3 linked regions of the Rattus norvegicus genome follow. The protein of the gene in region 2 purifies or fractionates together with the protein of the main gene of each other region. This does not show direct contact. Links are inferred from orthologs where the notes say so. Each region holds a gene or a part of one and is shown on either strand. Other genes may lie near its edges.

The links.
Region 1: the proteins of Phlpp1 (region 2) and Wdr48 purify together in Homo sapiens (affinity purification with mass spectrometry; 5 studies listed by BioGRID and IntAct, with this or other methods). This does not show direct contact. The link is inferred for Rattus norvegicus from reciprocal best matches to the Homo sapiens genes PHLPP1 and WDR48.
Region 3: the proteins of Phlpp1 (region 2) and Wdr20 purify together in Homo sapiens (affinity purification with mass spectrometry; 4 studies listed by BioGRID and IntAct, with this or other methods). This does not show direct contact. The link is inferred for Rattus norvegicus from reciprocal best matches to the Homo sapiens genes PHLPP1 and WDR20.

The regions. Positions count from the first base shown.
Region 1 is NC_086026.1:128,506,200-128,509,848, reverse strand, and holds part of Wdr48 (WD repeat-containing protein 48), read right to left. Parts: intron 1,404-3,649; coding exon 1,263-1,403; intron 1-1,262. UniProt on the Homo sapiens protein: Regulator of deubiquitinating complexes, which acts as a strong activator of USP1, USP12 and USP46. Enhances the USP1-mediated deubiquitination of FANCD2; USP1 being almost inactive by itself.
Region 2 is NC_086031.1:23,042,985-23,046,121, reverse strand, and holds the end of Phlpp1 (PH domain leucine-rich repeat protein phosphatase 1), read right to left. Parts: intron 2,633-3,137; coding exon 1,409-2,632; 3' UTR 503-1,408; downstream 1-502. UniProt on the Homo sapiens protein: Protein phosphatase involved in regulation of Akt and PKC signaling.
Region 3 is NC_086024.1:135,571,756-135,576,111, reverse strand, and holds the start of Wdr20 (WD repeat-containing protein 20), read right to left. Parts: upstream 2,867-4,356; 5' UTR 2,737-2,866; coding exon 2,488-2,736; intron 1-2,487. UniProt on the Homo sapiens protein: Regulator of deubiquitinating complexes. Activates deubiquitinating activity of complexes containing USP12. Anchors at the base of the ubiquitin-contacting loop of USP12 and remotely modulates the catalytic center of the enzyme.

The sequences.
Region 1 (3,649 bases), on a different chromosome or scaffold from region 2:
TCCCACACCCAGACAGACACATTTATATACTTCATAGGCAAGAGAATAGCTCTGCCTGTCTAAGAACCAAGGCCATGCGACTTTGTCATAAAAACCAGTGAAAAGATATCTGAGGGCAGGACAGCCAGATTCTTCTAGGCAAGGTCTTTTAATTTTCTCTTGATTTGTTAAAAATACTGCAAACTCCCAAAAACTCAATAGTCTAATTCAAACATGAGTCCCCAGGGGTGCAAAGGCAAACACAAAACACACGTTCTTACTTTCATGCTTTTGACACTGCCTTCACCTGCTCAAGAACTCAAATCCACTGTCGAAACCTTACCGGCAGCTATGCCAAGTACCCTCTTTCTGCCCTGAACACTGGTTTGTAGAGCAGGCTAAAAGGCAGACTTAAACAGGTTCTGGATCAGGAGTCTGAAGTGAGTCTAAGCTCCAATTCACTGCCACACTAGCCATTTAGCCATCGGGATTCTAAGTGCTAACAGTCTTGGGAGGGACTGTGGAAATTCAGAGAGTGGTGAGCAGGGGTGGACTAGGTGCACAGATAAGAGGTCAGTAAATGCCCCCCTCCCCAATTTTTCTACATCATTCACAGTGTAACCTTCACAAACCCCAAGAGCTTCCTCCCATTTGTGCAACTCTCCTTCCCCACGCATGCGAGTGTCCTCCCTGCTTACGCAGAAGCCCTTCAGAACTGAGGCGTAGGCCAGTGGTGGAAGGGTGCTTGTCTAGCATGCACAAGGCCCAGAACTTGATGTTCAGCACTGCAAAAGTAGCAGTAAAGCCTCAGGAAGCCCTGAGGAGTAGGAGAGAGTAGCCCTTGCTGCTTCATACCTACCACATTAGCCAATAAGACCCTAGCGTGTTAGGAGGTCCTTAATCGCTTTTGTAAAAGTACACACACTCAACATTTTGTTTTTCTATTTTCAGCACTGTTATCCAGAGACTTTTTGGATTCATAACTAAGCCAGAATTCCATGGAGAGTCTCAAGTCGCAGCAGCCAAGTACTCTCAGTCCTCTGTGCGGGGAACCCCTACGGCAAACTAACTTATGGCGCCCGAGTCTGAGTTAAGTAAAAACACTTGTGAAACTTCCCTGGAGGTGTTTTCTCACAGGCTTACAGGACTATGGTGATGTCTTTATACAATATATTAAGGAGCTCAGTGCTGAGATTAAAGCCAGGACTGAGGAGAGGTGCTCCATCAGACAGAGCCACTGGTCCAAGATACGAGTTAACCCAAATGCACGACTCCTGCCTTACCTTGTGCTGATTGACACTCCATATTCTTATGATGGAGTCTCGACCTGCTGTGAAGAGTCTGTTGAGTGCTGGGTCCAGTTGCAGGGCATTGACTCCGTTCCGATTGTACTTCTCCACTTCATCTCGAATTACATAGGAAACCTGATGGGCCAACAAAAGCCAAGCCATGGTGAGGCGTGGCCTAGCAGTGCCAAACTAACTTCAAGCTCATGTAGTTTGTTTTTATCTTACTTCAGGAGGACCGAAGTGCTGTGAGAAGAACAGCGTTACTGAGCCCAGCTCGAGACAAGCAGAGGTCTTCTTGCTGCTAATGACCCAGACACCTAAGTCTCCAAGCCTCCTCTCTGCCCTGATTTGTCTAATCCATTTTCACCAACCTTTCAACAGTGTATACTGGAATATATCCAATATCCCATTGAGGCAGGACAGTCAGTCAGAAAACAAAGGAAACATGGGAAGAAGCCACCCCCACCAACCCTCTTTTGCCTCTCGCTGGCTGACAGACACTAGGACAAGATCTGTAGACCCTTACAAGTAAGCATGTGAAATGGCTGGTGTCCTGTGCTGTGCATCTGAACGCTTTACCCCAGCACATCCTCCTCCAACGGCATGCATGACTGCAGTGCACATAAAGCCCACGGGTGACAGAACACTCGAGCAAGCTTTCCCTCAAGCCCAGAGCAGATGGAGAAGCTTGCCTCACTCACTGCTGAAGAGTAGAAATCCCTGCATGACTGGAAAGCTCTCTCTTCTACCCTCACATTTAAAGAAGTTTAGATTAGGGTTGGGGATTTAGCTCAGTGGTAGAGCGCTTGCCTAGGAAGCGCAAGGCGCTTGGCAGGTGCAAGGCCGGGACTCTGTCATGTGGAACAAACAAAGATGGACGTCTGTGTACAAAGCTCCTTTAGTGTAGCACCTACTGTCACCAGCAAACTCCACACCCTCACTGTCCATCAACAAGGCCTCATCTGTCTTCTCTCCCGGACACCTTAGCCTACCCCGGGCTTTTGGAATCTTCTTGTGTTTTGACATTTCTGGATTTTTGTTCTTTGCTGTGCATTTGGAAAGCACTTTCAATCTAAAGTTGTGGTGCTTCATGTCTGCAGACCAGGCCTGTGTGGATGCTGCTGTCTGTTTTCTCTGTTCTTCTTGAGTCCATCTTTGGACAGTGGAATTTAATAACTGAACCTCTTTTTTAACATTTATTTATTATGTATATATACATCATACAGCTTTCTGCCTGTAGGCCAGAAGAGGGCTCCAGACCTGATTATAGATGGTTGTGAGCACCATGTGGTTGCTGGGATTTGAACTCAGGACCTCTGGAAGAGCAGACAGTGCTCTTAACTGCTGAGCCATCTCTCCAGCCCTGAACCTCTGTCTTTTATACAATCCATATTATCTCTATTTACTTTTGAAAGGACTTTTTTATTATTTTATAACTTTTACTATGATTCACCATGTAGCCCAGGATGACCTGGAACTTTCTATATAGCTCAGGATGGTCTTGAGTTCCTAATCCTCCCACCTCAGCTGCTCAAGTGTTGGACTACAAGTATGTGCTACCGTACCCAGCTTCTACTATTGTATTTTTTTCAATAAATTATAGAACAATGAAAAATAGAAACAATATCTTTAATAAGGAAAAGTTACACTACCATACATTAGGCTGGCAAGATGTGGCTTATCAGGTAAAGGTGCTTGCCACACAAGTCTGGGGACCTGAATATGACCCTTGGAATCTATATAAGGTGGAAGCAGAGAGCCCACTCACCAAGTTGTCCTCTAACCTCTGCATGTACCACGGCATGTGATCCCCACTCCAATAATAATAATAAAGATTTAGAAAATGTACTCTACTGACATTTCTATGTGGTCATTAAAGAGAGAAATAGAATTTATATATGGATTGGTTCTTAAGACATTTCACATAAATTTTATTCAAGTCTTGCAGGACAAAATGTGCCTCTTGTTTCACAAGAACAGGAGAAATCCAAGGGCCTGGTGCAGAGCCCCAGTTCCTGCTGTGAGATGTCCAGGACACTATAAACCCCAGGCTGTTAGCCACGAACAAATGCTAGTCTTGTGTGTTGGCCTCCACCGTTTTCTGCCAGCCTGTGGAAGAGGAAGCAGGGCTTCAGGAGGGGCTTCTCAGGAGAGGGGAAGAAACAAAACCCCTGAATCCAGGTAAGTGGGAACCATCCCAATAAACTCATTGTGATTATTTAAAAAAGAAAAAAATGTCTAGACACAGACAGGAACAAACAAGCCCAGAGCTTAATATGTGATTTATTTTTATTTTAATTATGGGTATATATATATATATATATATATATATATATATATATATATATATGCATTTGTGCATGTGATGAACTGCCTATTGA
Region 2 (3,137 bases):
ACCCTGTGCTGTAATGAGCAAACTCATTCTGTGGTCTCGGTCAGTGGTCTGGGCTGCCAAGTAGTACTCAGTGCACACCTGAGGGGAGACAGGTAGAGTAGATGTCCCCAGTCTTCCACAGACAGCTCTTAATTGACAGTCACTACGGAAGGTGCATGGGATGCACACATGGTCTCCTGGAAGGGTTGAAAACCATCTTGGTTCTGCAGGTGTGCAGGTTCTCTGCAGGGCTCTCCTCTATGCAGTGTCCACTCAGTCCTCTTTTAGTGTCTACCTTGCATAATAATAGAAAGAAAAGGGTAACAGCAGTTGTGCATACAGTTGACCAGAAGGTCAATTTCACTACCTCATTCACTGTATGCAGCTGAACTTGAGTGTTAAGGAAACAAACCCCAAACCCATGTGGGTTAATCTCAACCCCCACCACCTATTCCTTCCAATCCTAAGCTGGTGTGATTGTAAGACACACCGGGATGCTGAGACAAAAGCAGATGGCTCCAGTACTTGTAAATTTCATATTTATTATAACAAAAATTACGACATGTCCATTTGGGCATTCTGTTTCCATATAACTCTGGATGTGTGGCTGGTCTAAGGGACTCTATACAGTCATGCTGATTGTGGCAGCAGGAAGGAACACAATTAAAAAGTGTCTGTAAAAGGTTCTGGGCTCCCGAGAGCAGGGCCACATTATCTGCACAGAAGCACACTGAGCAAATGGCCCACACTGCACATGGGCGAGGTGGCTGGGGCAGGGGAGGCTCTGCAGAGCGAGGAAGGAGTCAGTTATTTCGGCCGTGTCCCTATGCCAAGACTACAAACACTTTAAGCTTCATTATGTAACACTGAGCTATTTACAATAGAAATTTCTCAATCAACTGTTCTCTCAGAGAAAATTAGTGAGTCCCAGTGACTTAAGTCACTGACAGAGTAAAGCAACTCCTAGGAGTTAGTCTCCATATTCTACAAATGTCTATCATTTTCAAGACAAAAAAAAGCTTTCCCCACAAAGAAATACACATTACAGTATTATTAAATCATTTAGCAACGGCAACTAGCCCTGCCTTCCAAACGAACAAAACAACAAAAAGCCATTTTTAAAAATATTACATTATCATTTACTGTTTCTCTGTAATATATTAAACCTTTTGTTCTTTGTCTTTACACAGTTGATATGTTAGGGAAAGAAGTTAACAAATTTAAATCATATTGGTAAAGTGTCACTAGAAGAAAAGTGGTTAATTATTAAAAGTAACTAATACAAAGAGAGCCTAGAGATGAGCTGCAGAGACAGGCGGGGCAGTGTCTGGGAGAGGGCATGAAGCAACACCCCTGGTTTAACGTGAGCCTGGGACACTCTCTCGGCCTCTCTGGTTAGTTTATTGTTTAAAACAGTACGCAGGCTGGGTCATAGTGGTGTGTCGTAACAGTCCGGCAGGTGATCCATCTGGAAGGGCCTCTGTGCCTGTGCCTGTGCCTGTGCCTGTGCCTGTGGCGGCTGGGGTGGAGGTGGTGGCTGCTGCTGCTGCTGCTGCTGCTGCTGCTGCTGCTGCTGCTGCTGCTGCTGCTCCTGGTGATGTTTCATGATTTCTTTGACTTCCTCTTCCAGCTCTGGGGGGATGATAAACTGATCATCTGGATCTGGTTGAGCAGGGGCTGCAAAATAGCCTCCCGGCTTCCGGAGAGGTGCATCTGTGGCAACCTCTATTACATTATGGCTCCTTTCCTGGGGAGCTACAGAGCCGTTAGCCCTGCGTCGCCCAATGGTCCCCACAGCAGAAATGTCTGTCTTCTTGGACAGACCTGACTCATCCTCATTGGCACTGATGACAATGCCCTCATCACTGGCTTCAGCTGGCACCTGAAGCAGGTGCTGCTGTCTCTCCTTCTCCTTGGCCCGGCTGCAATGGATGTCCACTTCCACCTCCACCCGGCTGCCGTTGCTGAACACGCCCTCAATGGGTTCCTCGTCATCACTGTCAAGGCCGTTGTCAGAGAACGCACTGGAGAAAGTGGCGCTGGACAGCTGGCGCTGGAAGGAGTTGGACAGGCAGACCGGGTGGAGCATGCAGCGCTGCTCGCTGGGGTAGGCGGGGCTGCTCTCACTCAGGGCTCCCGACGGCGGCTCGTCAGAAGCTGTGGAGCCCACCTCACTACTCATCTCAGAGGTAGACAATTCACTGCTGATCTCAGATGCCATGCCGCTGCTGGAGGACGGCACGCCCAGCCCATCTGAGGGCCGGTCCTTGATCACCATGCTGACGGAGGGCGGGAAGATTCCGGGACTGGGCGGTGGCATGCTCCCTCCCACACTGAGCTCACAGCAGCAGAAGCTGTCTTCCGTGACACTGAGTTGCACCACCACAGCACTGATGCTGTCGTGGCAGCCGTAGCTCTGGGCCAGGGTGCATAGCTTCTTGGCGGCGGCTAGAGCATCTGGAACGTTGCGCACGGCTTCCACAGCCTCTTCGATGGACAGGCTGTCCCACAGCCCTTTGCTGCCCAGGATGAAAAACTCATCCTGTGGAGTCAGAAGCACCGACTGTACGTGGGGGCGAGGCACCACACTGGGGTGAAGGAAGGTGTAGCCCAGGATGCGTGTGGACTCTGTCACTCCATTGACCTTGCCATCCTAGAAGAAGAATTTCCAAAGAGACAGTGAGCACTGAGCACATGTGGTTACCAAGCAGCCTGCCTCTGGGTCCTCGGGAAGTGTTGGCACCCATGGAGGAGGCTCACACACTCTGTGTGGAAGGGCCGGAGTACAGACCTGGGCTTGTAAGGGGCAACAGGGACAAAGGAAGTATTTGCTTTGGTTATGCCTTTAACAGGGACCACACTTATACTAGGTGGTGGGTCTCTTCATGACAAGCTGCTGTCCAGCCTCACGTGGCAAGCATGCTTATTAGATTCTAAAGTGGCACATGCCATAGAAACACCTGGGGCAGGGACAGTTCAACCGCATGACCCTGCCCAGCAGCACAGCCAGCATGGAGGAGGGCGAGGGAGTCCTGTGCGACCCACGGATGTTTGCATCTGAGTCACAGTACTCATATGTTTGGAGAGGCAGTGTTAACAGCAGTGCCCATTCTTGTACTTAGTGTGAGCCTGGCTTCCAAGGACAAATGTAGAAACCA
Region 3 (4,356 bases), on a different chromosome or scaffold from region 2:
CTAGATCCAGATGAAGTGTGTCATGAGAATGATACAAAATTGCCTGGGCTCCCTGGCCACAATGGGGGGGGGGGGGGCAAGAAACAAAAATGGGGGATAGGAAGTGATGACTGAACTAGTAATAGTAATCACTAGGAGTAAATTTAACTTTTTAAAGTTTATTATTTATTTATTTATACACATATATGTGAATGCCACATGTACGCAGGTACCCAAAGAGGTTTGAAGAGGGCTGTAACTACAGGTGTCTGTGAGCTGCCTGAAGTAAGAGATGGGATCTAGGTTCAGAAGAACACCAGGTACTCTTTAACTACTGAGCCCTCTTCCAGGCCCCACAAATTTAACTTCTAAGCACATTGTATTTTTACATCATCACTATTTTTGTCTTTTTGGTTTTAGATTGAGGGAGTTGTTTTTTGAAACAGGTTCTTACTATGTAGTCCTAGCTGGCCTGAAACTCTATGTAGGGCAGGCTGGTCTTGAACTCAGAGATCCACCTGTCAAGATGCATGCTACCACACCCACCTGGTTTTGGATTTTTTTTTTCTTGAGAGAGGGCCCCACCATATAGCCCGTGCTTGCCTCAGATGTGCTAACTGTAGCACAGGTTGGCCCTGAACTTGCCAACTATAGTCCTGGCTAGCCACAATTTGAGTGCTAGGATTGCGGTATACACAACCATGGTAGGGTCTAATTATACTTTTCTAAGATTTCTTTTATTTTTAAACTTATTGTGTGAGCTGTAAGTGGGTACCCAGAACCCAGAAAAGGACATGCGATTCCCCGGAGCTTGAGTTTCAGGCAGTTGTGAGCAGCCTGACATGGGTGCTGGGAACTGAACTGGAGTCCTCTGCAAGAGCAGCACAAGTCAATAACCACTGAGCCTTTGCTCCAGCCCCTAAAGGTAGGTGTTGGTAACATTTATTTCCAGAGAAAAGTCTGCTGTTTCAGACAGAGCAGGCATGTTGAGATGGCAGCTGCTCCCTAAGCTTGCTTTAACTGTAATTTACATCTCCTGAGTGTGTCAGGACTCTAATGCCATTACTGCCATTACTGCCATTACGAATTACAACATGTGCACTGCAGCCCTCCCTTTTTAAAGAGGCGCAAAGTAAAGTTTCCCACATATCCAAGGTCACCAATGAGTCAGTAACAGAGTTGGGAGCAGCACTAAAACTTCAGTTCCTACACTTCAAACCACTGGATACTTTCCTAATCCCAAGAGAGAGAGAGAAAGAGGAGTCAGCCAGCTATTTTCAAACACTTGGTTAGTACACTGACAAGAATAAAGACAAGTCAGAAGATCACCTTGGGCCAAAGAAACAAGCTACGTTTGCATACCATACCATTGTCCCTTTCCTTGTCCTCCTAACCTACACAGTACAGCGTAAAAAAAGCAGCTGATCTATTCATCCCTGGGAACATGTCCTCTTCAATATGGACAACTCACTTCCCCACTATCTCAACATTTATAAGTGAATCTTCCATCACCTTGTCACCTTCTGTCGGAAGTGCTATGGAGTGCGTTCATTTCCTCACTCTCTCAATGGTCAAAAGTTAAAATAAGCAGTTCTTGGAACATAGTTATATTGCCAATGACAAAAAAAAAAGCGCCAATAAATTGCTTTTAACGAGATATTTTAAAACTCGATGGCATGCGTCACAGAATTACTGTTAAGTTCTTGGCTGGTTACTTAAAGTAGCATTTAAGGCCTATCCCTCCCTGTTTGGGACATAGCCTGACTTGTTAGACAAGATAAATCTAGGCACGCTCACACAGAACACCTCTGAAGCAACTTAGCTTATTGAAAACATTATTTCAACCTCCCTAGTCTGAGTACTCAGCCCTATTATACTACAAGGGACAGAATGACCCTCTTCAAAAATCTTTCGGGAGAAGGTTCCTTCCGCGGAGACAATGACAGCCTTCCTCCCGGGAAGGTTTTTGGAAACAGTGCTGACACCAGGAGAAGTGTCAGTGCGGCAGCAGGTGGAGTAGCCCTGCGTGCCGAGCAGGTCCTTTCTGACCTAGTCTCCAAGTCCTCCGCCTCCCTGTCCCGGTTCCGCCTTACGGACCTTTCCAAGCCTCCTCGCGTCCCGGTTCTCTCACCCAGGGCAGGACTCTCGAGCCTCCCGGGAAGCGAGGCCACCTAAGACGGCCGCCGTATCTCTTCCGGGGACTCGCAGGCCCGCTCCCTGTCGGTATCGGAACCTGACGGACCCCTCCGGGGAGAGGCGACCGGCTACTCCCGGGGCATCCCCGCGACCCGGTTCCAGAGCCCCCTCCCCTTCGAGGCAGCGCTGCCGCCGGCGCCTCACTCCTAAACACCCTCTCCTCCACTCAGAGTACCTCAACGGAGTTACCGGCCCACTCAAAAGTACAAGTGCCGGCCGCCCCCACCGGTCACCCCGGCCTCGCTGTCACCGCCCAGCTCCCGGCCTCGGCCGGCACCGCCGGCGTGCCCCCGGTGACGCCCGGGTCGGTACCTTGCGGACCCCCTTGTAGATATAGAAGTAGAGCTCCCGGCCCACATTGAAGCAGAGGCGGTCGCCGTTGCCAGACTGGTCGTTGAGGTTTACGAAGGAGACGCGGACAGGGTTGGATCCCTGCGAGTTGAAGGGCACCCGGTTGGGCCGGCTGTACTCCGAGTGCGGCAGCAGCTTGTACAGACCTTCCCGGGTGGTGAATTGGGTCTTAATCTCGTTCATCTCCTTCCCTCCTCCCTCCGTCGCCATCTTGGAAAGCAGCGTTCATCCTGCCCTAAGTGCCCGGATCACGCCCACCGCGCAGGCGCCGTCCTCGGCCGCTCGCTCTCCACTCCCCACCCCCTTCTTCGCGGCCCCGCCCATTGGCGAGCCAGCCCCCATGAAGGCGGGCCGAAGCGAAAGGGGCGGGCCAGTTTACAGTCTAAGTGCGCACGCGCGCTCACCTGGCGCGCTCCACCCCGAGGGGCGTGCGCCAAACTCCGCCCCCTGGGTGCCGCCCTCTGAGTGCTGGTGGAAGCGCGCGTGCCGAGCATTGGTGCAGGAACCGGTCTGCACCAAGGTGAATCTCTTTCTGCAGCTTCGCTGAGAGACCCTTTCCCTAAGGGAGGGCCCCGCCTTGACCTCGGCCGGCTGCTGGTCCCGGCGAAGCCTGAGGCGAGCAGTGAAGTCCGGTGTTTGGACCTGTGCGTCCCAGCTGTACGCGATCCTCCCTTGGAAGCTGAGGAGGACTCAGACAGTCCGGTTGGGTGCTGGGTGCTAAGACGCTCTACGCTTCCCAAAAACAGTCTCACAGAAGATATCGAAGGATTGAGCTTTATTACCCCTCACGGTTTTGTTTTGTTTTGTTTTGAAGGCGGGGTGGGAAGAACAGCTTAAATGTGTTTCCAAGTCTCATCTGAAACCTCACGTGAGCGTTGGCTTGTTCTTGAGAAAGTAGGTTGTGTTAGAACTTAAGTCTCCTTTGCCGCTTAAGAAAGGTAGAGCTAGCTGACTTTTCTAAAGCCTCAAACGGAACCTGAAATTATTTGCTAGGAGAACCATATCGTTGTAACGAATGTTCTGTACAAAGTCTATTTAGACTATTTAGACTTTAGAAAGGACAAGCATACTCTCATTAAAGTAGAACTAAACAGTCAGCATTTGATGCATCGATTTCTAGGTATGTGCACTGGAATACGAAGGCTTCTAAAGTAATAAACGTTACAATAGAATTCTAGAATAGGGAAAAATGATAGACGAAGAATGAACTATCCCTGAGAAGTCATGTCTGTAGAGCGGAAAATAAGTGGAGCGAGCCCAGTGGGGGGCACCTGTGCTTCCAGACAGAAGTGCCTGAGCCCAGAGAGGGTGGGAGGCGGCTACCTGAGCCCACAGAGCAACACTCCAACCTCACAAAAATTAATTTGTACACAAGAGAGGAGTGTTCTAAAGGAGGTAAATCATAACCATTTTATGTAGTGGGAAGCAAGTACATAAACAGTAGAAACTGTGCCAATGATGTAATAATGCATTTGACACTTACATCCTATAGCTTTCATACATGCCAGCAAAAACAAAATAGCACTACCACAATTTTTTTTTTTGAGACAGTATTTCACTAAATAGCCCTGGCTGTCCTGGAACTCAATAGGAGACCAAATCCACCTGCCTCTGACTCCAAGTTAAAGATATGAACCACACACCCTGTTTAAAATGCTTTTGGGGCTGGGGTTGTTTGTTTTTTTGTTTTTGTTTTTAAGGCAGGGTTTCTTTGTGTACCCCTGGCTCTCTGGAGACTATCTGTAGATCAGGTGGTCCTCAAACTCTCAGAGATCTGCCTGCCTCTGCCTCTTGAGTTCTGGGATCAAAATTGTGTGCCACCACCGCCCT